Pelodiscus sinensis: one gene and its partner. The protein of the gene in region 1 interacts with the protein of each later gene in a pairwise test. Links are inferred from orthologs where the notes say so. Each region holds a gene or a part of one and is shown on either strand. Other genes may lie near its edges.

The links.
Region 2: the proteins of JAKMIP2 (region 1) and CLIP4 interact in binary tests that used the Homo sapiens proteins (3 or more experiments, as listed by UniProt). The two-hybrid records come from large-scale screens. The link is inferred for Pelodiscus sinensis from reciprocal best matches to the Homo sapiens genes JAKMIP2 and CLIP4.

Annotation. Positions count from the first base shown.
Region 1 is NC_134727.1:20,179,171-20,195,268, forward strand, and holds the start of JAKMIP2 (janus kinase and microtubule-interacting protein 2), read left to right. Parts: upstream 1-7,713; 5' UTR 7,714-7,827; intron 7,828-16,098.
Region 2 is NC_134713.1:160,479,844-160,495,298, forward strand, and holds the start of CLIP4 (CAP-Gly domain-containing linker protein 4), read right to left. Parts: upstream 7,964-15,455; 5' UTR 7,845-7,963; intron 1-7,844.

The DNA of each region.
Region 1 (16,098 bases):
TGTGATGTTGCCCTCCATGTTGTTTATGGAAATATGCTTATGAATATGACATAACTCAAATATGCTTTATGCAAAATACTTCAGGTAACATACCATTAGAAAAGTTATAATCTGCTGAATATGTATATTCTATTTGTGTGCATGTGTCAGTCTTGTATTTGAAGTTAGAAATACAAAATATAAACCTGTTTTACTAATCTAGATGTGCTAAGGGAGGGCCATTAGTAGAATCTAACCGTCGGTGGTTAGCCAGCCCTCCAGGAACTTAATGGCCCAATACTTGGGATAATGATCTGTGAATAGTCTTGTTTTTCCTATAAGCCTGGACCAGGGTGGATCCTGTGAGGACATAGGGCCAGGTGACCTGATGCTGGAACCCTGATGCTGCACTCTTCCATAGATGGTGAGAAAACTTTGAACTGATCACAAAGGATTCCAACACTGGGAAAATCTATATAAAGACGGAAAACCAAACAATAGGAGCTGATACCAAATTCCAGGATATTCCTGTCTACCACCCAAGATTACTTCTGGAAACATTTATGACTGAACAGGGGCAAGCATTGATCTCAGGCTGGGAGGCATTCCAGCTTGTGAAAAAGGATGATTAGAACTACTGTTAGGGTAACGTATTGCAGATAACGAGTTTCTTAGTGTATTAGGCTTAGGTGATATATGATGTTTTATTTTACTTAGTAACTTACTTGCTCTGTCTGCTATTACTTGCAACCACTTACATCCTGCCTTTTATCTTATAAATATTTCTGGAAGTTTGTTTGTTTGTTTGTCCCGAAAGATCTCATAAACGGTAAGAGCTAGAAACATCAAATTTTGCACAGATACTCCTAATTTCCTAACTTAAATAACTAAATTATTTGTATCTCTAAATCAGTTCCCCCAGAGCCCCAATTGGGCCCACTGATAATTAGCTTTTAGTAGCGCCTGATCATAAGCATTTGCTGGACTCTTCTGTTAAACGTGTCACATAAACTGCAACTACGAGATCCTAGAGGATAAGGCATGTGAGTACCTGCAGCACCATCAAGGGAAGGCCCATGGGGGAGAGGCTGCAGTGGGGTAGAGAATTAGCAACCTCCCCTATACTAGGGCACCAGCAGGTCTCCAGGACAGACCCAAATGTGGCTGATGCTGGCTAGGGTCTAGCCTTGCTAATTGTGGCTGGGAGAAGCCTCCAGCTATCATAGCCTCTCAACATCTTCACGCAGCCGGGCTCTAACTGAACCCCTTCTGGAAATTACATTTGCTTCCCTCCCCCCACACCGAAACGAGCCATCCCACCACTCACCCTCCTTTGGGCTGCGTGCGTTCTCCTGGCAGGGCTGTGTGCGTTATCAGCAAGTGCCACGGACATTATGCACTTTGCAGGATTCAGCTCACAGTACAAAGAGGAGGTGGGTAGGAGGACCAGGTTTTGAGCACCATGGAGCCTGAGGAGGACACGGTATGCTCACAACAGCCTATTCTCATTAGAACAGGTACTTTCAGGTGTTGCATGTTCTGATCATCTAGATAGCACTAATTGCACCTGGTCTGAAGGTGTTTTACTTTGTCTGATCAATGCAACCGATCCAGCTGCGGCTAGGAAGTCCATTCAGGTTGCCTCATGGAGCGTGCACTGAAGGCACTCGGGGAGTGGCTACTTGGGGAGCAGTGATTTGCTGCTGCTGCAGAGCCCAGGAGACATCCCCTCCATTTCTCAGGGCATCTGGCAAGGAGGCTGCAGGCACTGGTTTGCACAGAGTCTTTAAGAGAAGATGAGCCTTCTTGATTTGTGGGGATTGAGAAAAGACACCCTATGGGATTTGTCATTTTGTAAGCACAGCACTAGCTTGGTTAATTTCTTAAAGTAATATATCAGAGAAAAGTATTTCCAATAAAATATGCTATGTTAATGTTATTGACGTGTTCATTCATCTCACCTTTTACTATATTTTCCCCGGGCAATGCCAGGTATTTCTGCTAGTACTTAATAAAATCACGTTTGTTTATTAAGAAACCCAATAAATAATTATTAATACCGGCGGGGAGGGCAAGCTGTTCATATCTCTCTTTCATTGATAAAAGAGGCAAATATTTTATGAATTTGCTTTTATACAGTTTTATACAGAGTAACCTAATTTTATTTTAGATTCTAGACACCATTGGAACTATGCACCTGGGTACCGTGGCAAGTTCTTTTGATTATCTCAATTTCTGTACTCTGCTGTGGACTGTGACCCTAGCTCTTTGCCAATGCTGGAGGAAACCAGAGGTCTGATCTGCAAGACAGGGTGGGGAGACACCACAAAGGCAGGTAGATGGGCTCAGTGGTATTTCAGCACCTCAGGTATGTCTACACTGCAGCATTTTTCTGGAATAATGCCTGTTATACTGGAAAAACAATACTTGCGTTCACACTGCTATTGCGTTCTTTTGACAAAAATTCGAAAGTATGGAGGGGTTTTTCAGTCAACAGTAAACCTCTTTCTACGAGGAAGAATGTCTTTTCCGAACAAACTTTTTCAGAAAAAGGCGTGTGTGGATGCAGAAGAAGGAGTTCTGTCGAAAAAAGAGGCCTCCAGGAAATAACACAGGTGCCCTGGTGGCCACTCCATCCAAACTAATCAGAACTCTATAGTTCCTGTCTCCTGCCAGCTCTTAAAGCTGAAGGCGCGCGGTACAAGTCTTGTGGCAGGAAGCCGGACCTGGGAGCTGCACTCACCAGGTGGCTCTGTCTTCCACACTGCTAGAGAGCTATGGCCCAGCCTCAACCCTGCCAAGAGCCCACTGGCCCTCATAGGGAGTATGCACAGGGCTCCCAGAAGCCTGCCAGGGGCACTAAAAGGTGTGTCCCATTGTGGTCTGGGGCAGAGATCCTGGCCCTCCTAGATGTCTGGGGTGAGGAAGAGTCCCTGCAGGATCTCTGCTCCAGACGTCGAAATGCTGACATCTGTGTCCAGATGGTCAAGGCCCTGGCCGCGAGAAGACACCACCCCCAGAGCCTCAAGCAAGTCAGGAGCAAGGTCAAAGAGCTCTGGCAGGGCTACACCAGGGCCAGGGAGTGCAGCTCTTGTAATGGGGTCCTGCCCCTATTACAAAGAGCTACACCGCACCCTGGGGGTAGTGCAGCCCCTTCACCATCCCGGTCATTGAATCAGGGCTAGAGATGCCTGTTGTCACCTGCCTGGAGCTCCCTGGCCAGGAGAAGGAGGAGGATGAGGATGAGCTGGAGGAGGAAGAGCAGACAGCCAGCACCATCACCCTCACCCTTGAGCCGGTACTCCAGGGCCTGGATATCTCCCAGGCATTCTCTGAAAGCAGGGAGGGGCCATCAGGTGAGTGCTCTCAGTTTTTCACGCACACAGTGGAGGCAGGTGCAGAGGAGATGGGGAGCAATTGTCGTTTGGACTTCTCAGCCTGGGCATTGTGCTGCACTCCATGTACATGGAAGCACATGCAGCGCCAGTCTGTGCCTCACGGCTCCACGGCATCCCCGGAGCACCCCCGGGCTCCTGCTCACAGGCTTTGGGGAGGCCACACACATGTCTGACCCCTGGGAGAGACCCCCTCCCACCACTAGCCACCGCTGGAAGCAAGCTGGGGACAAGGGTGCATGCACACACACACACAGACTGAGAAGTGACGCACACGGCACATGGGCATGCCTGCACACTTGAGCCACCACTCACTCCCACAGCCAGCGCTGCCAGGCGCAGGTGTGTATGCAGCCCCCATGGAAGGCCAGGCTGCTCCAGGCCCCTGTCCAGCCCATGAAATTCCCACTGTGGCCAGATACTTCCTTTGCCTTCTTGTCCATGGGACAGAGGAGGGGAACGGGCAGCATGGTCCCATGAGCACCTCAGAGCCCCTATGAGGCAGGGACTGCAGTCCAGTCCATGCATGGCCTTTCTCTCAGGACATTCCCATCCTCCAGCCCGAGGACTGTTGCTCACAGCTCACAGAAGAGGACATGGCCCCAGGGACAGTGTCTGCATGGATGACTGACCGCCTCTCCCTCTTTATTCTCCACAGCTGGACCAGCTGTCACTGAGGGGCGATCACCACCAGCTGAGCCAGCCAGCCAACCCTGGGGGAGCTGCAAGTGCCAGAGGCCTCTCCTGCTGCCCCTCCTGCTCCCACAATGCCCCCTCCTGATGCACCCCATTCTGCCCACCTCCCCGTGCTGCCTGCCCCGATGCAGCCTGAACCACAAGTAGTGGTCCGCCCCCGCAGAGGCAGTTGCAGGGGCCACCCCTCCCAGCAGTAGCTCCGCCTTCCCCCCTCCCTCCTCCTAGTTCACAGCCTCCTCCCCCCTCCTAGTTCAGAGCCGTCTCCCCCTCCCAGTTCAGAGCCTCCTCCCTCTTCCTAGTTCAGCGCCTCCTCCCCCCTCCCAGTTCAGACCCCCCTCCACCCTCCCACCCTACGTCCCCCCATTGTAAATAAAAAGTTCAAGACGTTGGTTTCCAAAAAAAACCTGTGTTGGTTGTTTATTGGGAGGTATGGGGAGGGGAGGAGGGGAGGGTTGGGGATGGGAGGGAGATGTAAAGGGAAACAGAGGCAACCCCACTGTGGGGCCTGGGAGAACATCTCCGTCAGAGCCTCCCATATGTGTACCCCATCATGGTGCGCCTGGCGGATGGCAGCTGTGGGGGGCTCTTCGAAGGCCTGGCCCTCGCCTGCCATCCATGCCAGGCAGAAGGACTCCCCCTTCTGCTCCATGATGTTGTGGAGCACACAGCACGCAGCCACTACCTTGGGGACAGCCTGCTCACCCATCTCCAGACAGGTGAGCAAACAGTGAAACTGGGCTTTCAGACAGCCAAAGGCGCACTCCACCTGGTTGCAGGCCCGATTGAGGCGGTCGTTGAACTGTGCCCGGTTGTGGTCTGTCTGGCCCGAGTAGGGCCACATTAACCAGGGCAGCAGGGGGTAGGCTGCGTCCCACACAATACATGTGGACATGGGCACGTCCCCAACAGTAAATTTCCACAGGGGGAAAAAAGCGCCCACCTCCAGCCTGCCAAACAGGCCGGAGGTTCAGAGAATGTGGGCATCATGTGCCCTGCTGGACCAGCCCGCATAAATGTCCATGAAGCAGCCACGGTGGTCCACGAGGGCCTGGAGTATGATGGAGAAGTACCCCTTGCGGTTTATGAAATGGGCCGCTCGATGCTCTGGGGCACGGATGGGATGTGGGTTGCATCCAGGGCTTCCCAGCAGTTGGGGAACCCCAGGGCAGCGAAGCCAGCCACCATAGCCTCCACGTCCTGCAGGCAGATGACTCGCTGGAGCAGGACGTTGTTGACAGCATGGACGACCTGCACAATAACACAGGGGAACGCATCACATAAGGCAAGGTGATGCCCTCTGTCCTCACACACACCAGGGCTCCCTCGCTCCACGGGCCACACACACACCCTCCCACAAGCAGGCCTATGCAAGGGAGGGACGGCCCAAACCCCTGGGTGACGAGGAATTCCCCATCGCCCCAGCCTGGAGTCTTGCCTGCCCCTGGGCATGGAGTGCAGCACCCTCTCCTTTCCACCTCCTCCCCCCCCCCCCCCCAGCACTTACCTGCATGACAATGGCACCAACGGTGGATCTGCCCACCCCGAACTGGTGTGCCACCGATCGGTAGCTGTCCGGGGTGGCCAGCTTCCAGAGTGCAATGGCGACCCTCTTGTCCACAGGGATGGGTGCCCACAGCCGTGTGGTGCTTCTCTGGAGTGCAGGGGCGAGCCAGGCACATAGCTCCAGGAATGTCTGCTTTCGCATCCGAAAGTTCCAGAGCCATTGCTGGTCGTCCCATTGCCCCAGGACCCAGCTGGTCCCACCAGTCGGTACTGGTGGCCAGTCTCCACAAGGGCCTCTCCACGGTGGGGTGGGGATGCCACAGGGTTGCCACAGCCTTCCTAGTGAGGGAGTCCAGAGTGACCTGCGCCTCGAGGTCCTGGACGATGAGTGCAGCAGCATGGAGCAGCAGCTGCAGGCAATCCAAAATGGCCGGAAGGGGCCAGAGCAGGCACAAGGCCACCCCTGGCTCCATGGCACAAGAAAAGAGCTGGAGTCAAAAAATCAGCAAATGGCACTAAGGCACAAGCTGTGGTGTCCAACAAGGCAGAGGGCAACCACAAGTAGAACTGCTATGGCTGTCAGTCCCTGCAAGAGGTCCTACAGCTCACAGCAGGAGAGAAACGGCTGTCTGGGGAGATCCCTTTAAGCATGTCTCTCAAAGGAGCTCCAGCCCCTACCCCAGGAAAGGGCTGGTGCCCTTTTGCCCTCTCCAAAATGGTTCCGGGGTCCTGCCTCTGTCCTGTCCCCCCTCCGTCTCCTCTTTTCTAAGCTGAAAAGTCCCAGTCTCTTTAGCCTCTCTTCATATGGGACCTGTTCCCAACCCCTGATCATTTTAGTTGCCCTCCCCTCTCCCAGCCTCTCTCTTCCCCTCTCCCACCACCTTTTCCCAGTCTCCCCCAATTTTGTTCAATAAAGACAGATTCCATTTTTGAACACAATTGTCCTTTATTTTGTACATCAAGAAGAGGGGCTAGGGAAGGGTAAGTGGAAGGAGGTGAGGGAGGAATGGGGCACGCGCCCCCGATGGGGAGGTCTGGGCTGGCTCTGCGGGCTTCTGGGGGTGGAAGCTCTCCTGCAGCCCCCCAATTGCCCCCTCTCCCCAGATGGCAGCCTGCGGCAAGTGCAGCCGGTCTGATGGCCGAGTGCTGTGATGTGCCCAGTGTGGGTACTCCGGGCAATCCAAGCCAGGACTGCTTTGCAAGCGGGACACCCCTGAGAACTGTCTGTCCGGGGTGGGGGTCAGGACCCTTTAAGCACAGCCCTCGGCTAGCCTGAGACAGCATCTCCACGCTCTAAGTCCTCCTCTGATGCCCTGCCGGCACTGCTTCCGGCCATCCTTAAGCCTGGTTCAGGGTCCACTTAATGTGGACATGCTAGTTCGAATTAGCAAAACGCTAATTCGAACTAGTTTTTTAGTCTGGATCCGTTAGTTCAAATTAACTAATTCGAACTAAGTTAGTTCAAATTAACGTTGTAGTGTAGACGTACTCTAAGGTCCAGCGGCCTGTAGTACTAGTCCCCGCTTTGCACCTTACACTGCAGTGTTTTTGGCCAGCACATCACATCCTTCTGTTTGTCCTTTGCAAACCTGCCTTTTCCTGCTGTCCTCCTTACTGCACCCTCATTTCCTGCCCTTCCCAAGGCAGAACAGCATGTTATGGGCAAGCAAATGCCCACCGGCCCCGCTTGCTGTGTGAGATTCATGCCCTTGGCGCACACACACTCACCTGCCAGCTCTTCACACTCAGCTAAGGAAACTCTGAAATGGGCCCTTTAGTGTCTACAGGGTTCCTGCTTTGCCTGGGGACAAGCATTTGTGATTTTGTGATTAGCTGTAACTGAAGAGATTCTTTCTTGGCTGAAGCAGCTTCTGGGAATAAGCCTCAGTCTCTCCCTGCTCTTCCCTCCCCCATCTCCTTCCTTTCCCTCCATCTTTTATGGCTGTTGCCATGGAGCCTAGCGAGCTCCGTGCTGCAGCAAGGGAGGGAGGAGGAGGCAGCAGTGCCTTCTGCAATTCCAGGTTCTGCTCAGTGAGCTCATCACCCTCCTCCGAGGAGGAGGGAGGCGGCTGGCTATTGCTGCTGCTGCTCCGGGTGGGTGGGCGGTTTACATCCTCAGCATCACCAAGCAGGGGGTGGGGGGAATATCCCAGCAGCTGCTGATGTTGGGCTCTGAAGCAGCCTCAGTAACTGGGAAAATGGATTCAGCTTGCACATCCCTTGCCTTTCAGCATCTTCTCCTGGTTTCAACATGGTGAGCCAGCACTGCCTTTATTGCTGATATTCATGATTGTGGCCGAGGATCATTCTTCTCATGCTGTTGCTGTTTTTTTCTGATCTGGTTGTGCTGCTTATCTTTACTATGTTTGTGAAAGAATGACTTTCATCCGAGCTGTTAGAGAGAGCTTAGGGGCTGGAGCGAGATGGGAGGGATGGAGTGAGAGAGCTGGAGATACAGAAAGATGGAGAGCGGAGAAGGTATATGGGGGCTCATTAGCAGCAGTCTCAGTGAAACAATGTTCCAGGAATTCATCTTAGCTAACCTCATGCTCTAAACCCCCCACCCTTATTTATTTGTCATCTTCTTTCCTTTGCTGTTACAAAATGGGATGCACTGAAGACGGTTGTGGTTTTAAAAAAAGGTATTTTTTTGAAAGGTTTAGTTTGATGTCAGGAACTCCCAGATACTGGGTTGGGCCTCAGGGAAATAGCATTTGGGGTAATAAGTGCATCTAAGCCAAGAGCAATTTTGAAGGAGCTACTCTGATTAATTTGCTTGCAGCACAGATTTATCGATTTGGATTTGTCGTGGCTTCGCACGGGGCTTCGTTTTGAGATTCTTGTTTTTAAAAGGTTTCTATGCAGATCTTATTTTTGTGGAAGAGGGGTGTGTGAAAATATACTTACACATTGAACTGGGTGTCTTTGTATGTACAACACATGTGCTGTTTTCACTGCCAATAATTGAAGAAATATTCCAGTTGGGGGTGATGTATGATTTATTCTTCCGTTACTGAATTATTGTCCCTTGATTTCATTATGGCACTTAGGATAGATCTATATCATGCATTTGGTCTGTTTTATGGCACTAAATACTAATTTATGCCTGTCTTAATTTGTTTCCATTAATATAAATAGATATAAGATATGGAACATATACCTTATGGCCTGGTAATGGATGCATAGATAGCTATAGGTATAGTTTTATTTAAAAGTTTAAATTAAGATCTTGCAGGAAAAAATGTCAAACCATATTTTTAAACCTATTAATTTGCACTCAGAAGTGTCCCATGCACCATTGTAACATGAAAGGTCAGATTCTCCTTTCTGAATGCCCTGAATTCATTGCACCAGATTCTGCCTTGATATATACTCCATGCACATGCTTGAACTCTGGGAAGCATGTCAGTGTCATGAATGGTCCATTTTGTCCAATAATACTGCATTTGAGCCTTCCATCCTGGCTCAGGAGAAATCCCCATTGTTCAGATCTGCTGTTTGTGTTCATTCCAGCAGCATACAAACACCAGGCCAAAATCAGCTGTGCTGTAAATGTCGACAAAATGATTTCCACACCTGTCCAGAATCTGATTCCTGTGATGCAGGTGTAAATTCATGGCAATTCTTTTGATTTTAATTAGCTTGGTCATGGTGTGGGTGAACTCAGGTGTATATAGTAATGTAGTGTGCAATGGTTTGTCAGTGAGACTAAAAAGTGAGTGTCATATAAATGGATTTGGGGACTAAATTCAGGTGCAATGGATGTTGTACTCATTGAGCCAGAATCAATCCCATTTTCAAAGGGGGTGAGTCTCCATCTCTGGGAGCTTTGCCCTCAGGGGATAGGCAAATTCATCTCTGCTGGGAAATTTGTGGGAGTCCCCCCAGCAGACATGCTTGAGAGGAGTTGCTGACTCAGCGCATCTGGCCATGCTCTTTGCCAGGAGAGCCTTGTTGACTTTTGGAACATCACCTGTCAGTGGAACCCTGGGAGCTCTCCACGTCTGCAACCTCTCTCCAGTTGGACTTGCTGGGTTGGCCATTCTGTACTGGCTGAGGTTGTCCTGGCCTGGGTGTTGGATTTGTCCACTTGTTTGTGCAGTGTCCAGCACAACCCTGACTGGGATCTCTAGGCATTATTACAACACAAACAATAGGTAACTTCCTTTGACTGAATTTACCCCAACATCTTTCAGTGATTTCTACTTATATTCTCCTGTTTCCAGGGTTATTTCTAGATCAGTAAGCTTTTAAACATAGGTCTTTTGTATTCTAATCTTTTTTGTTTTCACCTCTACTTAATGGGGTGATAACGTAGGTGTAACACTAGAATGTAGTTGTGAATAACAAACAGCAGGCTATTATCACTTATAAATGCATGGGGGACATTCGTGACCTTTTATTATTATCAAAACTTGAAAGCAGCTAGAAAATGGAAGCATAAGTTCTCTACTGTTATTACAAAGGATAACTGACCTCATGGTTTTTAAGCCAGAGAAACATTGTATAACTCTAGTAACGAAATGATGCTAGAGTCATTTTCAGGTTTTGGGGTCTATTACCCATCCATTTCCTTGTATCCTGTTACGTGCCAGTTATTATTACAGATTACAAATGCATAGAAGCACTCCTCTTACTAGAAAAGATATTGGGCTAGATTTTGACCATATTAATGCTAGTGTAACTCTAAAGAAATCAATGGGCCTAATTCTGATCTCACACTGGTTTCACTCCAAGTGGTTTCACTTCTGATTTACATCAGTGCAAGTGAGAACAGAATCAAGCTGATTGGCTAACGGTCATGGTCTAGTGATTTAATTACAGAAATTAGTAACAAAGGAAGTTCTAATCCCTGAACTGACACCAACTCCATCTATAGCTTTGTCCATGTCATAAACTCTGCTGCCTGTGAAATGGGCTAATAATCACTAATTTAATGGAAAAACTGCTGTGAGGATTAATCAGCTAATGTATAGAGAAAAGCTGAGCACAGATAAGTGCATTTACCATTTGTTTTACATACTGACATGGGTTTGGTAAAAAAAAATTGTTTAGATTTGAATCTAGTTTGATTTGCTTGCAAATAGTACATGTGAAATTATCCGTCCTGCCTGTGATACACTGAGTGTGGAGTTATGTGTTCAGAGTATTCTGTGAAGGGTAACCCATAAACATGTAATGTGGGAGGATGATTTATAAACTGATTCTGCTTAGTTCACCTGGGGGAATGCTGCAGTCCAGCAGGTGAATCAGAGAAAACTGCACATGCGGTCCAGACAATGCTGCCAAACTTGCACCTGCAAAGGGCCTGCTAACAATGGGATGAAATGCTAATGCTACGTTTACTGCATACATTCCAGTGTCACATGGTGTAGAATACTAGCAGCTTCAGGCTAACTGAGAGCTCTGTGGGAATAATGAGAATCAGGATATTTCTGTCTTTACAGTCACCCTGGGTGAAAAATAACACAAGTTGCCCATCTTTATCCACAGCTCTCCATAATCCCTCCCCAAACACAGCAGTTCTTGACACATTTCTTTTGTTCCCCATAGTGTTCTTGGACTTGACCCTCACATCCACATATCCCAACTGACAGGGGGAGGAGAAGAGACGACACAGTGTGGGACCTCAGTCAAATAGCTTTGCAGACAACCTTAGATATGTTCTTAATTCTAAAATGATTAATGCAGTTGTCAGAGGAACAGAATAATTCGAACCCACAACCAATGTCTTGTATAAACATTGAGACAAATCTTGGCCTCAGGTCATTCACTTTCAAGGCTCCAATTGCAAATCAAATCTCATGTTCCTGCTGCAGTGAGGACCAGGCAGAGATACCACGTATGGGAATTCTGCAAGTCCCTGCTAGGAGAGTGGAATGTGGACATGCCAAGAACAGGGAAACAGTATGGGTTGTGAACAGTAAAGATCCAAATTCACATGTTGGTGAACTGCGTCCTCCTCTTCTTTCATACATGTTAGTAGCAGCCACATCCCAAGTTCTACTGATCCATTCTTGAGTGTCAAAGGGAAACACTTATCATGCATGTAATAATGCCTTGGGAAAAGCCCCATTACTCTGGCTTTGCTCCTGGGAAGAGAATATGGCCCCTTTGTAACATCACAATAATAAAATCATAGAACACTAGAACTGAAAGAGACCTCGAGAGGTCATCAAGTCCAGTCTCCTGCCCTCGTGGCAGGACCAAGCACTATTTAGATCATCCCTGAGAGATGTCTATCTAACCTGTTCTTGAATATCTCCAGTGATGGAAATTCTACAACCTCCCTAGGCAATTTATTTCAGTGTTTAACCACTCTGACAGTTAGGAAGTTTTTCCTAATGGTCAACCTAAACCTCCATTGCTGAAATTTTAGCCCATTGTTTTTGTCCTATCATCAGAAGCCAAGGAGAACAATTTTTCTCCCTTCTCCCAGTAACACCCTTTTAGTTACTTGAAAACTGCTATCGTGTCCCCTCTCAGTCTTCTCTTTTCTAAACAAGCCCAATTCTTTCAGTCTTCCCTCACAGGTCTTGTTTTCTAGACCTTTAATCATTTTTGTTGCTCTTCTCTGGACCTTTCCAATTGCTCCACATCTTTCTTGAAATGTGATGCCCAGAGCTGGACACAATACTCCAATTGAGGCCTAATCAGTGCACAGTAGAGCAGAAGAATGACTTCTCATGTCTTGCTCACAACACTCCTGTTAATTATCAGAGGAGTAACCGTGTCAGTCTGCAAAAATGACAAGGAGTCCTGTGGCACCTTATAGACTAACAAATGTATTGGAGCATAAGCTTTCGTGGGCAAAGACCCACTTCATCAGATGCATGTAGTGGAAATTTCCAGGGGCAGGTATAAATATGCAGGCTAGAGATAACGAGGTTAATTCAGTCAGGGAGAGTGAGGCCCACTTCTAGCAGCTAATGTGAAGATGTGAACACCAAGAGAGGAGACACTGCTTTTGTACTTGGCTAGCCATTCACAGTCTTTGTTTAATCCTAAACTGATGGCGTCAAATTTGCAGATGAACTGTAGCTCAGCAGTTTCTCTTTGAAGTCTGGTCTTGAAGGTTTTTTTTCTGCAGGATGGCTACCTTTAAATCTGCTATTGTGTGTCCAGGGAGATTGAAGTGTTCTCCTACAGGTTTTTGTATGTTGCATTCCTAATATCTGATTTGTGTCCATTTATTCTTTTACGTAGGGACTGTCCAGTTTGGCCAATGTATATAGCAGAGGGTCATTGCTGGCACATGATGGCCTGTTAATGCATCCCAGAATCATGTTGGCTTTTTTTGGAACAGTGTCACATTGTTGACTCATGTTTAACTTGTGGTCCGCTATGACGCCTAGATCCCTTTCTGCAGTACTCCTTCCTAGACAGTCGCTTCCCATTCTGTATGTGTGAAATCGACTGTTCCTTCCTACGTGGAGTACTTTGCATATGTCCTTATTATACGTCATCCTATTTACTTCAACCCATTTCTCCAGTTTGTCCAGATCATTTTAAGTTATGACGCTATCCTCCAAAGCAGTTGCAACCCCTCCCAGCTTGGTATCATCTGCAAACTTAATAATCATACTCTCAATGCCATCATCTAAATCACTGATGAAGATATTGAATAGAACCAGTCCCAAAACAGACCCTTGGGGGGCCCCACTTGTTATGTCCTTCCAGCATGGTTGTGAACCATTAATAAATCTGAGAACAGTCATCCACCCAGTTATGCACCCATCTTATAGTAGCCCCATCTAGGTTGTATTTCCCTAGTTTATTGATAAGGTCATGCGAGACCATATCAAGTGCTTTACTAAGGTCTAGGTATACCATGTCCACTGTTTCTTCTTTATCCACAAGACTTGATATCCTATCAAAGAAAGCTATCAGATTGGTTTGACATGATTTGTTCTTTACAAATCCATGCTGACTGTTACCTATCTATCTGGCTTCAAGATTAAACTAGATGGGTTTATGAAGGGGATGGTTTGATGAGATAACATGATCTTGGTAACTAATTGACCATTCATTATCAGTGGGAAATAGGTCAATGGAGGGATGATAGGAATTACTAGAGAACTTTCTGGGTGTCTGGCTGATGAGTCTTGCCCACATGCTCAGGGTTTAGCTGATCGCCATATTTGGGGTTGGGAAGGAATTTTTCTCCAGGGTAGATTGGCAGAGACCCTGGAGGTTTTTCGCCTTCCTCTGTAGCATGGGGTACAGATCACAGCTAGAGGATTCTCTGCATCTTGGGGTCTTCAAAGTATTTGAAGGCTTCAATATCTGAGATATAGGTGAGAGGATTATTCTGGGAGGAGTGGGTGAGATTCTGTGGCCTGCACTGTGCAGGGGGTCAGACTAGATGATCATAATGGTCCCTTCTGACCTTAAAGTCTATGAGTAAAGTCTATGAGTCTATCACCGTATTATCTTCCAGATGTTTGCAGATGGATTCCTTAATTATTTTCTCCATTCTCTTTCCTGGCACAGAAGTTAAACTGACTGGTCTGTAGTTTCCTGGGTTGTTCTTATTTCCCTTTTTATAGATGGGCATTATATTTGCCCTTTTCCAGTCTTCTAGAATCATGCATGACTTCCATGATTTTTCAAAGATGATAGCTAAAGGCTTAAATACCTCCTCTATCAGCTCCTTGAGTGTTCTAGGATGCATTTCATCAGTCCCTGGTGACTTGAAGACATTTAACTTTTCTAATTTTTAACTTGTTCTTTGTTTATTTTAACTTCTAAACCTACCCCAAGCTGTACCCTTCTATACCAATATCCCGATCATATGTATTATCCCACCAAATCTCTGTGATACCAATTACATCATAGTTGTGTTTATTTATTAGCTCTTCAATTCCTTCCTGCTTATTCCCCACACGTCTAGCATTTGTATATAGGCATCTAAGATACTGATTTGATTTTGCCTCCCCAGTTCTGCCTTGTCCCTCCTTTATCTCTGCTATTATTATAGCCCATGCTCCTTCCCCTTTCTGAACCATCTCCCAATTTTCCATGTTTTTCACTTACCTGTGGGTTTTGGTCATCTGGCCCCATTAAACCTAGTTTCATTTCAATGAGTTTTAACTTAAAATATGTTGAGATTGGATCCTAGCATGATATGGATATTATTGTACAAGACACCAGTGAAGAATCCAATCATTCAATGCTTGTTCTGGCAAAGGCCCATATGAATGCTGGCCACCTCAGAGATGCAGGAAGGGGATAGAGACGTGTGCCTTCTAGGAACTCACTAACAAATATAGCAATGGATGCCCTGGTGCTCCCAGATATAGAATCTTTTTCATGCTGTGAACAAATTCCTGGCCAGAGCATCTTTTACATTTCCTCAGCTACTGGGCTCAAGTCTAGGTAACCCACTGGTGAACATGTGTTAAAGGTCTACCACTGTGCTTGCTCCACAGAGGGCATGAGTCTGTCACAGTCACAGTTAAAGAGACTTTACTCTTTGGTTCAAACTGTTGCAGCTCCTGCTTGTTAGCTCTAGATGTCCCCAGTCCTCTCTCATAGACTCAAAGACTTTAAGGCCAGAAGGGACCACCATGCTCATCTAGCTTGACCTCCTGCACATCACAGACCTTCACGCACTCCCTCCTATAAAAGACCAATAACCTAAGGCTGACACTGTGAAGTCCTCAAATTATGATTTAACTACTTCAGGTTACAAAGAATCCACCACTTACCCTATTTTAAACTAGCCAGTGACCCATGCAACAGAAAAAGGCAAAAAACCACCAGGGTCTCTGCCAAACTGACCTAGTGGAAAATTCCTTCCCAACCCCAAACATGAACCCTGAGCATGAACACCTGGGAAAGAATTCTCTTTAGTAACTCAGAGCCCTTCTCCTCCTCCAGTGTGTCATTTCTGGCTGTTGAGAATATGAGCAACGAGCAGTCACAAATGGGTCACATGCCATTGCGGGCAATCTCATCATACCATTCCCTTCATAAACCTTATCAAGCTCAGTCTTGAAACAAGTTGGCTGCATCTAGACTGGCATGATTTTGCAGAAATACTTTTAACGGAAAAGTTTTTCCGTTAAAAGTATTTCCGCAAAAGCGCGTCTAGATTGGCACGGATGCTTTTGCGCAAAAAGTCTTTTTGCGCAAAAGCATCTGTGGCCAGTTTAGATGCAACTTTGTGCAAGAAAGCCCCGATCGCCATTTTAGCCATTGGGGCTTTTTTGCACAAAACAGTTCTTCCCTTTCTACACTGACCCTCTTGAGCAAGTATTCTTGTGCAAGAGAGCTTTTTCCTGAGCAGGAATGTGAAAGTATTTGCACAAGAAGCACTGATTTTGTACATTACAAAGTCAGTGCTCTGGCGCAAATTCAAGCAGCCAGTGTAGACAGCTGGCAAGTTTTTGTGCAAAAGCGGCTGCTTTTGTGCAAAATCTTGCCAGTTTAGTCACACCTGTTGGGTTTTTTGCCCCCACTGTTTGCCTTGGGAGGCTGTTCCAGAACTTGCCTCCTTTGATGGTAGGAAAACGTCATCTAA
Region 2 (15,455 bases), on another chromosome or scaffold:
GTGTGGTGGGGGGAATATGTTCCCTGCCTCTGTGTAGAGTGTCCTTGTGGAGGGAAGGTGTCTTGCTGTGTCCCATCTCGGAGTCAGGAGAATGTCATGCCTCCTCACACACACATGTGGCTAACAGGGTAAGGCCCCTGTGTGGCAGCCAGCTGGGGCCACATGCCCAGGGGTGGCAAGGCACATGCTCACACATGCACAGGTTACTGCATGATCTGTGGACAGCAAGGCCCATACACACAGTCCCTGGTTTCCATCCCCCCTCCCCCCTGCATAAGGGGACTCACATGTTCTTGCTTCCCTGGCCTGAGATGACACCAGCGACAGATCTGCTGGGGTAGCTCAGGAAGTCCTGGCTCAACTGGGTGGTGATGATGGCCTCCTCTGGCTCCTGGCTCTCCTCCTCCTCCTCCTCAATGCCCTGACAGGGCCCTCTGCCCCAGGGTTGACGACCACCCTGGGGACACAGACCGTCCCGCCCCCCAGGATGCAGTCCCGGGTGTCAAAATAGGGGCAGGTGTATGGGTCTGCCCCGGTTGAGAGCTGCCCCCTGTGGCCCTGGCATATGCCTGCCTAAGTGCCTTTATTTTCATCCGCACCTGTGTCTGGGTGCGGATGTGGCCTTTGCTAGCAATTCTGGCAGCTATCCTGCCATAGATGGCCGCATTCCTCCATCTAGTGCAGAGATCATGGACGTTGGGGGCATCCCCCAAACCTGAATAAGGTCCATAATCAACGCCCTGGACCAGGAAGGCGCCTGCCTTCTCTGGGCCCTGGCAGGTTCCTGGGAGCTGAGGGACTGGTCGTGGGGAGCGGTGGAAGGTTGGCTGCCGGTGGCTTGGTGGCTCATGTTTTGGGGCCACTGGGTCAGGGGCAGTGACTGCTGGCTCTGGGCTGGCAGGCAAGGAGCTGGCACAGGCACTGTGGCCAGACTCTACCTCTTTAAGAGCTCCGGGGGGAGAGGAGTTCTCCTGGTTGTGCCCAGAGTGGCCACCAGGGCACTCTGGGAAGGGCTTGAGGCCCCTTATTTCGAAATAAGCATCTACACAGAGCTTATTTTGAAATAGCAGTTTCGAAATTGGTGTTATTCCTTGTGGAATAAGGTTTACCAATTTCAAAATAAGCCCTCCGCTATTTTGATTTACTTTCGAAATAGCGGTTTGGCTGTGTGGATGCTAGGAAAGTTATTTCGAAATAACGGCTGTTATTTCAAAATAACTTTGCTGTTTAGACATGCCCTAACAGATTTATTGGAGCATAAGCTTTCGTGGGCAAAGACCCACTTCGTCTTGCATGTAGTGGAAGTTCTCTGCAAGTCAGTTATTCTGAGAAGCAGTTGTTACCCCAGTATTAGATGGGGAAGAAGCTGAGTTACAGAACAATTTAGCTGCAGATCCATAAAGGCATTTAGGTGGCAGATTTAGACACCTAAGTCAGAGCAGAGGGACTGGACCCAGGTCTCCTCACGTGCGGGTAGGGGGGTTTACCTAACCACTGGACTACAGACTCTGTGTCTTTCTTTTCCTCTCCCCCTGCTCCAATGGTCCAATCTGGATAAATACCTAAGTAGTCGTGAGGCAAGAAAGAGATACTTCTTCTATAGCCTTATGCTTAGGGCATCCATCTGGGATGTGGGAGACCCAGCTCCCCTGCTCCAGTCACTCATTCGTTATTTGTCCACACAGTGGATCAACTTCACCAGGAAAGACTAAGGGAGCCCGGCACCATAAAAATATCCCACAGCTCAGTGGGATTAGAGCACTTTCCCGAGGGAGACCTCTATTCCAATCCTTTTCCCCTTCTGCCTGAGAGAGGAATTTCTCAGGGCCACCCACATCCGAAAGAACGTGGGGGTTACAGTGGATGAGAAGCTGAATATGAGTCAACAGTGTGCCCTTGTAGCCAAGAAGGCTAATGGCATATTAGGTTGCTGTGACAGGCCGCCAACGGCCCGCACGTTGAACAGCCAGAGCCACCGGGAGACGAGCGGGGCCATGGGCAGAACCCCCCCCGCACCGCGGGGCTGCCGGAGAGTGGCGGCGGGGCCGGAACCTGCCACCGCGCCTGCGCCAGTGGGAGGCTACTGGCCCCTCCCCCGGAAGGGCTCAGGGAGGGGCTGTTGCAGGGAGTGACAGCTGCGACATGGCTGGGGGAGCTGCCATGTCATCGAAGGGGCGGGGCCTCCAGATCGTGTCTGGCCCAGCGGGCCATTTTAAAAAGGCCCACCAGCAGAGAGCAGGGGGGCAGCCTCCTCCCAGGGAGGTAGAGACGTACCGGGGCCCAGGACGACCGGGTGCGTGCCTGAGACCGGCAGGTGGCCCGTTCCTAACCCAGGGGCTCCCGGGACGGCCCCCGCGGCTGGCCAGCCCCAGGTCGGAGGATGACCAGGACAAACCCCGCCGCCCATGGAAGGAGCGGCTCGGCCGGGACAAGATCCGCGGGAACAGAAGGACCCACGGGACTCCTGCGGAACGACCTCAGACCTGGAGCCCAGAATCCCGGTAAGCGCAGGGGTACTCCAGGGGCCAGGGGAAGGGAGGAATCAGCCCGGGGTGGGGCCTTCTGGCAACAGTAGGGAGATGTGTTACGGGAGGAAACACCCCCCGTCTGCCGTGCAGGGATGACCGCGAGCCCCTGCACTTAAGGCCCCGGGCTGGGACCCGGAGAGAGGGTGGGCCCGGGTCCCCCTCCCAACCTCCCACGAGCACCCAGCCCCTTCAGAACTGGAACGCACACAAACGTGCGAACTGTGGCGGCCGGACGGCAGGGCTGGCCAGGGCATCGCCCCTCGGAGGGGCAAGAATCGGGGCGCAAGCCCATTCCCCCCTGCTAAGGCGGGGTATAGACACGGGGGCCGCTGAACCCCCCTCTCCTGCCCTGCAAGGAGGGGGTGATCGCACCCAGCTTACGGGACGCACGACCGAGAATCCCGGCTGGGGGCCTGGTTAGAGGATGAAGGGGTTCGCTGAGTCTCCCTGCCCGCCCGGTAGGGGGTGATCGCACCCCATGACTCATCTACAGTTTCATTAGAAGGAGCATTGCCAGCAGATCCAGAGATGTCATTATTCCCCTTTATTCAGCTCTGGTGAGGCCACATCTGGAGTATTGTGTCCAGTTTTGGGCTCCCCACTACATAAAGGATGTGGATGCATTGGAGAGGGTCCAGTAGAGGGCAACCAAAATGATTAGGGGGCTGGAGCATATGACTTATGAGGAGAGGCTGAGGGAGTTGGGTCTGTTTAGTCTGCAGAAGCAAAGAGTGAGGGGGGATTTGATAGCAGCCGTCAACTTCCTGAAGCGAGGTTCCAAAGAGGATGGAGAGAGGCTGTTCTCAGTAGTGACAGATGGCAGAACAAGGAGCAATGGTCTTAAGTTGTGGTGGGAGAGGTCCAGGTTGGATATTAGGAAAAACTATTTCACTAGGAGAGTGGTGAAGCACTGGGATGGGTTAGCTAGGGAAGTAGTGGAGTCTCCATCCCTAGAGGTGATGGCCTTGACAAAGGCTTGACAGTCTCGGCTTGACAAAGCCCTGGCTGGGTTGATTTAGTTGGGATTGGTCCTGCCTGGAGCAGGGGTCTGGACTTGATGACCTTCTGAGGTCTTTTCCAGCTCTATGGTTCTATGATTCTATGAGTGCTCAAACCACTGAGCTAAAAGTGTTGGGGGGAAGGAAAGTATGTACCCACTAGCCATCTTTTTCTGTATTATTTTGTGTAGCGTGAGGCAGACACCTACCTCATTTCTGCAAAACACATCTCACCTGCCCAAGCTATCTGACTCCAGGCAGCCAGTTCCCATTCATGAAATGCCAGGCAGAAATAGGCACCTGTCTTCAAGTGAGGAGCGAGATTTAGCCTACACTCCTCACCAGCATCTCCCATTGGCTAGCTTAGAGCATGTCTACACTAGGAAATTATTTCGAAATATCTATTTTGAAATAAGTTTATTCCCCGAGGAAAGCAGGAGTACAGATTTCAAAATAACCAGCCTGTTGTTTTGAAATAATGGGCTTGGTAGTGTGGATGCTCCACTTGTTATTTCAAAAAAAGCGGGTTAGGAGGCTCCTTGCTCAACATGCTGGGTATTGTGGTTTGTAGTCTAAGGTGCCTGTCTCTCCCCATTCATTGTACTGGAGCCTAGGTGCCCAGCTCAGGGTTTGTGGAATGCAGTGTATTCCTGTGCCTAAAAGCAAGGCATTGTGAGGCTCAGCATTGCAATGCCCAAGTCCCTTTGTGGATGCCAACCACTTACTTTGTGAATGACTTGCTCAAACCATCTTGTATCACCAGTTAGGGAGTTGCCAGTACGTCCAGAAAAGACACTCTTTTAGAGCTGATTCAACCATTCTTTCCTCGCCAGATAAACTTAATTCCATCCAGGGTTAGTGTCTGAGTGCTCCTTCCAGACAAGACGTTAGCTTTTAAGGGCTAACTCCACCATTGTACTTAAACGCTGCAATACTGCATGTTGCAACACTTAATCCTTAGGTATTCTGCTGCCTAGTGGAACCTCAGCCCTGAGTTAAGCATGGGGAGACTTAGATGCCTGAGAAAGGATTTCATAGAAGCCTACATGCTGATAAGGGGGGGGGAATGACTAAGGCTGCCAGAAGAGAAATTGAGAGGAAAGGGCCCAGATTCATAAAGGTGCTTAGGTTCCTAACTCCCATTGATCTGGGTATCTGACTGATGGGCTAGAGGGAGGCACTTATCTTCACTTCTCAGCTGTGAACCTCTCCTGGAATTAGGTGACCAAAGCCAGGTTTCTCAAAAAACCTCACCCCATTCGAGTACTCATCTAAATCCTGGTCTCCCATATAAGTGTCCTGGCCACTGGACTATGGATTATTCTGAAGTGGCCTCAAGTTCTCATATTGGTATGGTATAAATAATTTAGTCCTTAGGGTACAAATGTGAACTTGTGTCTCTCACAGTACAAGTGAGTGTTCAGAGCTGGGACATGGACAAGGATACACACGCCTGATCCTGAAAAAACCCAACTCACCCCAGCTGTCATATGTGAAGGCCTCAATCCTGTAGGCATGCACTGAGAACACTGATCCCCACAGGCAAGAGAGATGGGGAAACATCTGCTTGAGAATCCTGTTTTGGGATGCTAAGTTTCAGTGAGGCCCTGAGCAGCTATTCAGCTGTGGGCAGATTCTGTGCTTAGGCAACTTTGCACACACCCACTGGTGAAAACTGTGTCCCTCTGGGGTCAAGAGGCAGCTGAGCAATGGATGTGAGAACATCAGCAGTGTCTTAACATTGGACTTAGGCTCCTAAAGAGGCAGTTGGGTCCCTAAGTACTATTGTGGATCTAGCCATAAGATCCTGCGTCTTCTCCATAGACATGGAAGTTGTCATAGTACTTTTAGGCCATGTCAAACCAAAACTCTGGGTTACAGCATCCAAACATTTTGGATCAGGATCCAAACTTCTCATCACAGACCCACTGCCATTTATGATGAATAATTACAAGAACAATGTCACAAACACAGGATTGTGACTTCAGCTGAGGAATAGGTGGCAGGAGTAGGGAACAAAGATGACAGACCTAGCAACAATTTCATACTAGAATAAAATCAGTCTCCTGCACTCCTCTTACACTTGCCTATTCTCTGTCCCTTTATACAGTCTCACCCCTGTTCGTTCAAAAACTTTCGCTTTGCCTCTGCCACCAGAAATAGCCTCCTGGTCTCCATGGTATTGACAAACTTCATTTCAAAGTATCTTTTCCCACCACTCAGACTCTCTCTTTGCTTACATTTAACCCTATGACTGCATTATTTAACATTGTCATGCCTTTTAGGCAGTCAGTGATATGAAAGATGCAATACGGAATATATTATTTTTTAATTTATTGCTTTGTCAAGACTGCACCAATATGCTAAAAAAGAGGCAACATTGCCTGTTGATAAGATGCTTTCTAAAAGTTTTCTATGAGGCCTGAATTGCTGTTTAATCAGTTGTATAATTAACAGCTTTGGACATTGCAGACATTGTCATCAGTTCTATCATTTTTCTCGATTATTACTATTGGACCTCAAGCCCCAGTTGAAGCCAAGGCCAGTTAATACGGACCATGGCCTTCCCCAAAGCACTCATTACAATGCTGTGAACCAGATGTTCCTGCCTTTCCTCCAGCAGCACATAGATCCTACAGATAACAGGGCTGAGACTTACTATACAGCCCGCAACTTAAAATCTGTACCAGCTAGACAGCTTTTAAATGTTAGGCAAAGAAGTTAATCTTATTGGACAGTTTCCACTTTGCAGCCCCACCTTCCTCTCAAGCATAGTATCACGTTTAACACCTCATATATTCTCTACTGTGAATCAAACCCTGTAATGGCAGAGGACTGGATACACTGACCAAATAGGTTTCCCATCTCTACTACCTCGGAGCCTGTTGAGAGTTTCTTTCTTTTGGTGTATGCCTGCAAATATAGTCAGTATAAGGATGGGGATTCTGGGCAAGAGGTGAATACTTCTCTCCTAGCTCTTTTGACTATAAACTTTTAACAGTATTTTGGCTCTAACATGGCTCTTTTCATCATCTGAAAATGTCAAAGAACATTATATCACATTGGACCTCACAAAAACTTTGGGATGCAAGTATGCATTTTCCCCACTGTACAGAGGAGGATACACAAAGCATAGAAAAGTTATGTGATACCCTTGTCCATGCTATTATTAGTTCCCACAATAGAAGAACTAGAAGACACCAAATTAAGTTAATGGGTAGCAGGTTTAAAACTAATAAAAGAAAGTTCTTCTTCACACAGCGTGTAGTCAACCTGTGGAACTCCTTGCCAGAGGAGGCTGTGAAGGCTAGGACTATAACAGAGTTTAAAGAGAAGCTAGATAATTTCATGGAGGTTAGGTCCATAAAAGGCTATAAGCCAGAGGATAGAAATGGTGTCCCTGGCCTCTGTTTGTCAGAGGCTGGATAAGGATGGCAGAAGACAAATCGCTTGATCATTGTCTTCGGTCCACCCTCTCTGGGGCACCTGGTGCTGGCCACTGTTGGCAGACAGGCTACTGGGCTAGATGGACCTTTGGTCTGACCCAGTATGGCCGTTCTTATGCTCAATGAGATAGCCAAGTTCATTCATCTGAGGAAGTGGGCTGTGCCCACAAAAGCTCATGATACCATCTACATGTTTTGTTAGTCTCTAAAATGCTGCAAGACTAGGTATTGTTTTTTAAGTTTTTTCATGCTCACTGAGTCAGTGCATAAGCTGCAAATAAAACTGATGAGTCCTAACACTCAGTTCTCTACTCTGATCATTAGACACTCTGCTAGACAACAGTCCATGTAGCAAATTGCCACCTGCTATACAGGATCTAATAGAGGAAAACTAAAATAATCCAGAAAAGAATATGGCAAATCAAAAAGGAATAATACAATCTTGCTGAAAAAAACATGAGTATTTATCTTGCAAATTTCTCTCTCTGAGATGTGGTAAATAATCTGCTTCTAGAACACTGTCTCCTGCATTAATGGAATCTGACCATTCATTGTCAAGGTGTCTTCTGTGGTACTGAGACTTAGATACATTTTTTGTACCATAAATAAAAATACCAGACATTTTTGGCTGGTCTGAACAGCTGTGCTGCCATGTAAACACTCATTAAAAGCATGGCTTTGTGTCCACAGGGAAGGGAACAATGCAATGCACATGGTACTAAAATCATCTCTAGGATGACCCGATATTTTTAAGTAAATTCCAGTATTGAGGATGGTGATTATAATATTAAAGATGTCTTGGTATATGTCCTAACCTAAAGTCTTAATCAAAATAGGTTTTCAGTACTCATCCTCATTGCTTGGTCTCTTACCTGGCAGCAGTCTCACTTCACAGAAACCATTCTGCAAATGCGAGTAATCTGCAGGCTGCCACCTCAGCAAACAGTCTCTGTACAAGGAGCTCACAGCACCTCTCACTCCTGGGGAAGGATGGAAAGTCTGTGCTGTACACTAGAGTATTGGCAAGAGAGAGTGGAAAAGTTGAAACTGCATCTGCCTGAACTGCACTGGCTCTGTTGACAAATAGAGGATTTCAGTTTCTAACCCTGCCACGGTCTCTCAACCTTCACAAGGTCAAAGGAGTTGGACTGGGCTTTGACATACAAGATAGGAAATCTCAGGCAAGGTGGAAGCCAGGAAGCACATCTAGGCAGTTGCTGTAACTCCCAATCCTCTTGATTGAGTAGTCATGTCCCCCCACACAGTGTCCCTCCTGTATGCAGTGAAACCCATCATAAGTGACTGCTCAAAGGGATCAGCAAAAATAAGTTAGGTTCCCTACAAAAGGCAAATCTTTAACTAATGTTAGATAAAGTGATGGAAACCTTCAGGATCCTTTTGCTAATTTAGCTCAACTGCTCATTTTTGTTTTTCTCTGAGGCATTGCATAAAGGCCTCAAGGGGCTTTCTTCTACTTGAGATTTTTTTAAGGGTAAGTCTGGCCTACCACTGTTTTGCCTGAAAGACTTGCAGGGCAGTTGTGAGGATAAATTCATGGTGTGGTGATGTTGACCATATCAGTACTTGTGTGGATTGTGATGAGGTGATTCCATTCTTCCCTGTCACCTATGAACTATCCCTGCTTGGGTTGTGTACAGCCATCAGGATTAGGCCCATAAGACCCAGGACATTCAACAGCATACAAGAGACCCATTGGAAAAAACCACCAATTTATAAAGATCACATATACATTTCTGCCTGTTGAGATATTATTGTTCACACTGAATTATGGACTGTTTTTTCCAAGTTATAGGGACAACACTAGTTACAAATTAAACTGCTGGTTTAAAAGGCCCAGCACAAACTAATATGAAACCAAATGCAATTTTTAAAAATAAGGATCTAGACGAGAGGCCTCCAAACTGTCAAACACACACCCCTAGCAGGGCATGGAGGAACAATCTGGGGAGTGAAGGCACAGTGGGCCCAGGCCAGCCCCTACAGCGGAGTGTGGAGGCAGCACCACCTGCTTTGCAACACCACCCACTCCCAGCCATAAACCAGGCTCCCGGACTGGCCCCATCCCAGCCTGAGTGCGGTTCCACACCCAGCCATGTGCCTGGCTGCTGGCCCCCAGCATGGTCTAGGGTTGCCAGGTGTCCGGTATTCACCAGGACAGTCCGGTATTTGCGGGCTCCGTCCGGTTAAAAAATAAAAAACCAGAAAATACCAGACACGTGAAATGTTTGGTATTTCCTGATTCCCTCAGACGGAAGCCCAGCGGGGACAATTTTCCCCTGCTGCATCTGGCAGGGGCAGGGGAGTGAGGAGCGCAGCAGAGTCGTAGCGAAGGGGGGCAGGAGAGGGCACTTGCCGGGCACCGCGCTAGGGGGAGCGCCGGGCTGGGGTGGGAGCAGAGTGCACGCTGCTCTGGCCCACGTGACCAGCAGAGACCCGAGAGCTGGCCACGTGATGCCTCCATCTATACACTGTGAGCCAAGGCAGCCAGGCTAAGCAGCAGGAGCAGCGACTTTAAAAGTCAGATTAACTTACCCAGCCGTCCCGTTCCTCCGGTGCCTGGCTCTGCATGGGGGAGAGGGGGAATTGATTGGGGCGGGGAGCTCCTGGCGCTGGGGTTTCCTGGCTCAGGGGGAGGGGTGGGTGCACTAGGGGTTAGTTTGTGGCCCCAAACTGGAGAGAGTGGTGCAACTTTTGCTTAACAACTTCGGCCTCCCCCCCCCTTTTTTTTGCTTAACTTTGGTCTCCCTCCCCCCCCCTTTTTTTTCCTCGTCAGAATTTTTTCCCAGCATGTTTTTTTTGGGGGGAGGGGGGGGGTTCAATATTTTTTGTTAAACCATCTGGCAACCTTTTCATGGTCTGACTGCAGCTCCACTACCACCCTCATTCTCAGCCCTAGGCCACACCTCTGTTCCCAGGCCAGGGCCTTAGGCTGGGGACAGGAACTGGAGCAGAGCTGCACCCAGCCATGGGCCCAGCTGTGGCTCTGGCTCTGCCACCAACCTTGTTCCCTGGCCGCAGCTCCATTTCTGGCTTCAGTCCCACTCTAGGCCCCATATCTACCCCCAGCTGTGGCCTCTGCCTTGGTCTCCTTTGTCCTCCATTGCAGGAGCTGCAGCCCCACTCTCAGGTGTGAGGAAGGGGCATAGACAGAACTAAGGGGGACATGACAGTGAAAAGTTTGGGGATCACTGAACTAGACCAATTATTCCAAAGTCTGTCATCATTCTGTGCCAAGTACAAAAGAGATGTTTACTCCATTGTCTTGGGGTCAGGATGCCTAGCCCCTTTAGGGGCAGGGCACGAGGCCTCTAAGACCTCCCAAAGAGTGCCGCACCCCATGTGTGTATCGGTACCTTTGGCTCAGGAACAATAACTACACCCCGTCTCCCCTGAGACAGTCCGACCCAGCAGCCACAGTCAGTAAAACACCCCCTTCCTCAAGCGTAGTGAGACCCTGTGGCCAGAGTCTGTAATTGCCCCGTTTCCTCAGAGTGGTGAGACCTCACGGCCAGAGTCTGTAGCAACGCTCCCTGCTCTCAGGGCAGTGAGACCTAGTGGCTGCAGTCAGTAAGAAGCTCCCTCTTTTCAGGGCAGTAAGGCCTAGCAATCACAGTCACTGTTGCATCCCCCTTGGAGGTTAATGGGGATGGAGTAGGGGGACCCAGGCCCACCCTTTCGACTTGGTTCCAGTCTAGAGCCCTGTCAGTGACGGGGTGGCCTGCCACTAGTTCAGCGGAGAATTCACCTGAAACACACTGAGCTCTCAGGGATCTGTCTCCCCATCCTTGGCTACTTCCTACCAGACTCACCGAAGGAGCCTCCTTCGCCACTTCCCTTCAGACTGGGGGCTTCTCCAGCTATTCCCCACTGTCTGGCCTCCATGGGTCGGTCCGTCCACAGCTCTTCCTCCAGAGATCTGGCAGCACCTTCTTCCCCAGTGGTCAGCCCTGACTGAGTTGCTCCACCAGCCTTGATATTTGCCCGCCAGCTGGGGGCAGACAAGGGCTGGGCGGGGGCTCTTTCAGTCAGGGAGCCCTGGTTAATTCTTACAAGTCCAATGTGGGGTTGATATACCCCGTCACATGCATGCAGAAATCTGGTCTAATAGGAAACACTAGGTCACCTCAATATATTATCATTTAGCTCTGAACTGAACAGTCACTCAGAAAGGGGCTATACAGACATGAGTTACCCACCACCTGCAGATAACTCTTTAAATTGGGTAGTAGCTACAAGAAACAAATACCTTGACTGCTGTTCAAGATGGCTAGATATGTGTGTTGCATATAGATGATATACTCTTTTACCCTTGAAGTAATTTGAATGGTTATTATTGTGTATGAACACATCAGAGGTACTCCCAAAGTACACGATTCAAATAGAAGTAGGCTGTGACCCTGAACAGGGTCAAATTCCAGATACACCCAAAGTTATCCAAGTCAGATCCGAATATTGTTTGGGTACCTCTCTAATACACTTTTTAAATATCTATACTAGCGTTTCTTAAACTGTGTTCAGTGCCATGGAGAGAAAAGAAAAAATTCTGCTCCCCCACCCCAGAGGAGAGGAGCTGTTCCCACACCATAGCATTTTAAAACTGCTGCCTGCAGGGAACCCAGCTCAGGCTCTGCTCCCCCCCCCCCACCTGGGGCACGCTTGGGCTCTGCTGCCCCCCCCCCCCCGGGGCAGTCTTGGGCTCTGTTGCCCCTCATGTGCTGCTCCTCTATCTCCCCTGCGCCTTCCCTCCCCAGCCTGCTGGGAAAATGGCAAAGTTTAATCTGGCGGGGATGGTCAGGGTTTCTCCTCTCTCCCCTTCCCCTCCCCACCCCCCGCCAGCAGGAAGCCTGGCCTGGTGCTGCTGCTGCAGCTGCGCTGGGTTCCCCGCTGCATGGGCGGTGTGGAACTGAGCTCTCTCCACACACACACCCCTCCCAGGAACAAGAGCATGCTCCCTGCAGGCTTTCCCTGCTGCAGCAGGGTACCAAGCCAGGTAAGCGTCCCCCCTCATGCCCAGACCCCACACCCAAACCCCCCTCATTCCCCTCTCCATGACAAGACCCCACATTCCCAGCTTGCTCTGACACCCTTCCCCAAGTCCCCTCTTGCACCCTCCCTCCTGGCCAGACACCCTGCCCCAATACCCGCTCCTGGCCAGATATTCTGCCAAGACCCCTCCTCAACCCTTCCTCCTGGCCAAGCACCCTGCTCCAAGTCTCCTCCTGCACCCTCCCTTCTGGCCAGACACGTGACCTTATTTAGCATTTGTTTATTATTACCCTTACTTTTTTGTGGTCTACATTTTCAGCTCTATGTACCAGACTGTTATTAGGTCAGTCTTCCTGGGGGGTCGTGGAGCATTTCGTGGCCAGGCAAAAACAGAATGTGAAGAGCAATTAGCAAAAAATACAAAAACTAACAGCAATTTTTTTAGTACATTGGAAGAAGGAATCCTGCCAAACCATCAGTGTGGCCAGTGTAAGATTGAGATGTTAAAGGAGCAGTCAAGGATGACAAGACTGTTGCACAGATGCTAAATGAATTATTTGTATAGGTCTTCACTGCAGAGAATGTCTGGGAGATTTCCACACCAGAGCTGTTCTTTTAGGTGACAAATCTGAGGAACTGACCCAGATTTATAGTGTCAGTAGAGAAAAGTTTGAAACCAACTAATAAATTAAACAGTCATAAGTCACCAGGACCACATGGTATTCATCCAAGAACTCTGAAAGAACTCAGGTATGAAATTGTAGCACTACTAACTGTGGTATACTACCTATTGCTCAAATCAGCTTCTGTACCGGATGACTGGCAGATAGCTACTGTAACACAGATTTTTTTTAAAAAAGCTCTAGAAGCAATCTTGGCAATGACAGGCCAGTAAACCTAATTTAATACAAGGCAAATTGGTTGAAACTACACTAAAGAACAGAATTATCAGACACATAGATGAACATGATACATTGGGGAAGTGTCAGCATGGATTACGTAAAGGTAAATCATACCTCACCGATCTATTAGAATTATTTGAAGTTATAAACAAACACGTGGACAAGGGTGCTCTAGTAGCTATAATATTCTTGGACTTTTAGTAAGCCTTTTGACAATATCCCTCACCAAAGGCTCTTAAGCAAAGTGAATCATCATGGAATAACAGGGAAGGCTCTCTCATGGAGCAGTAATTGCTTAATACATGGGAAACAAAAGGTCAGAATAAATTGTCAGGTTTCCCAGTGACGAGAGGTAAATGACGGGGTCCGTCAAGTATCTGTACTGTGACTAGAACTGTTCAATACAGTCATACATGATCTGTCAAAAGGGGTAAACATTCAGGAGGCAAAGTTTTCAGAAGATAGCGATCATAATTAATTTTGTAAGTCCAAAGCTAACTGTGCAGTTACAAAGGCATCACACTGAACTGCATGACTGGACCAAAAAATGGCAGATGGAATTCAATGTTGATAAATTCAAAGTAATGCACTTTGGTCAACACAATCCCAACTATACAGATAAAATGATGGCATCCAAATAAGCTGTTACCACTCAAGAAAAGATGTTGGCGTCATTGTTAATAGGTATTTGAAAACATCTGCTCAATATGCAGCAGCCGGCAAAAAAGCTAACAAGTTATGAACCATTAGGAAAGGCATCAATAATAAGTCAGAGAATATCCTAATGTCACTATTTAAACAACTTTAAGAAGTTCTGGTCAAATACAGTGACAAATACAGAGGTAAAATAACCTTTCTACTCCTAATTTAGATTCCTCAGCATCCCAGGATCACAATGGTCACAGCATCACTCTGAGATCCCACCTTAGGGATTCATTTTTATGAGGCTGCAAATGCCTGATTATCTTTTTCCTTATCAGAGAGGCATTTTCAGCTTGGCTGTAGCTAGGGTGAATTGAGAGACGATGTTAATAATGGAGCTGTTATTTCTGTGCTGCAAATACTTGAATGTCAGTACGGGCTGCATCTCTCTAAACTAGGACTCTCTGGATCAGTGTCCCACCAGACTGCGGGGGTGGGGGAGAGCTGGGAGTTGGATGGGGGAGGAAGGGAGGGAGGCGGGAGAATGCAGAGCCATGCAGCGCAGGGGGAGTAGGAGTCAGGAAGCTAGCACTTGGCCCAGCTGGGCTGCCTGAGGGGCCAGGAAGCTTGTTGGGGCAGCCTAGCAGAAGTGGGCACGGCCTGGGACCCAGAAATTACCGTCCCTGGTACAGCAAAATCCCGCATCCAGGACCAGTCAAGACCTGAGGGGGCCAGACCAGGGAAGTCCAATCTGTACTTTGAACATCAAGTACCCCACAAACTGGCTGGCATGAACTTCCTGAAGGGAATGGCAGGTCGTAACAAAAATGGATGGTCTGCAGATTCATGGCCACTTCAAATGCAGGCAAAACTCAGTATTTCTTTTCTTCATTAAAAAGTGAAAGTTGCTGACTGACTGGGGCCAGAGGGATTGAATATCTCCATTTATCCAAAGAAAAGGTATTACCACAGGCAATGAATGCTCCTACCATAACCCTTGTCCTCATTTTGTGGCCTCAAACCCAGTTCCTTAGGTACTACACTTTTGAGGTGGAGGTTAGGAAGCTCATGCTCCAAACCCCATTCAATTACTGGCCTCTCCCTAGAGGCTCCCAACAAGGGGCACAGTTCAACTATGTGGCACATGTTTCCAAGATTCCAGTCAGCTCTAATTTTATCTGTCACAGTTTTCCTATCTCTGCTTAAATCAAGTGACCTCAAAGGCTTTACTGCAGTGTCAGAATTCAATGTCAACTGGCAGGAATTCGGTCGAGACAATAGCACCTTCATTTCCAGCGTCATTATATAACAAGGATGAAAATAGCTGGCTCAGTGCAGTCTCTCTTCCAAGCGAAGAGAAGTTTCCAACAGCTGGTTTTCAGTCAGACACAGTAAATTCTATGTAAATCAGCCAGAAACTGAACTCCTAGTCCAGGGGTGGGGAACCTCGGGCTGGAGGGCTGGATGCAGCCCCTGGCTTGCCTAGATCCAATCACTGAGGCTCATGCTCTCCCCCTCCCCCCAACATTGGGGAGTCCACACTGGTGCTCCAGCTTCTCCCCTCCCCACTGCCCCACCACGGGGCTGGAGCACACAAAATCTACTAGGCTGGGCCCCCCAAGACTCTGGAGTGTAAGGGGAATGTGGAGAGTGTCTTTCTCCTTGTCAGTCAGGCCCACATCTGTGAGGACTTGTTTTTGGTTTTTTTTCCCCCTCACTTGTGTGCTGCCCCTGACTTCTGTGGGTCAGTGGCCTCCAGCCTACAAAAGGTTCCCCACCCCATCCTAGTCTCATCATTTCTCAGCCATTTCTCATATACCCCATTCTTCAGATACTGCACGTTCAGCCACATGCAATCAGTCCCTTTCAGGTGCATCCCAGAATCATTTGCTCCAGCTCTCACAGCATTTCAGAGAGGGCAGCACAGGGAGT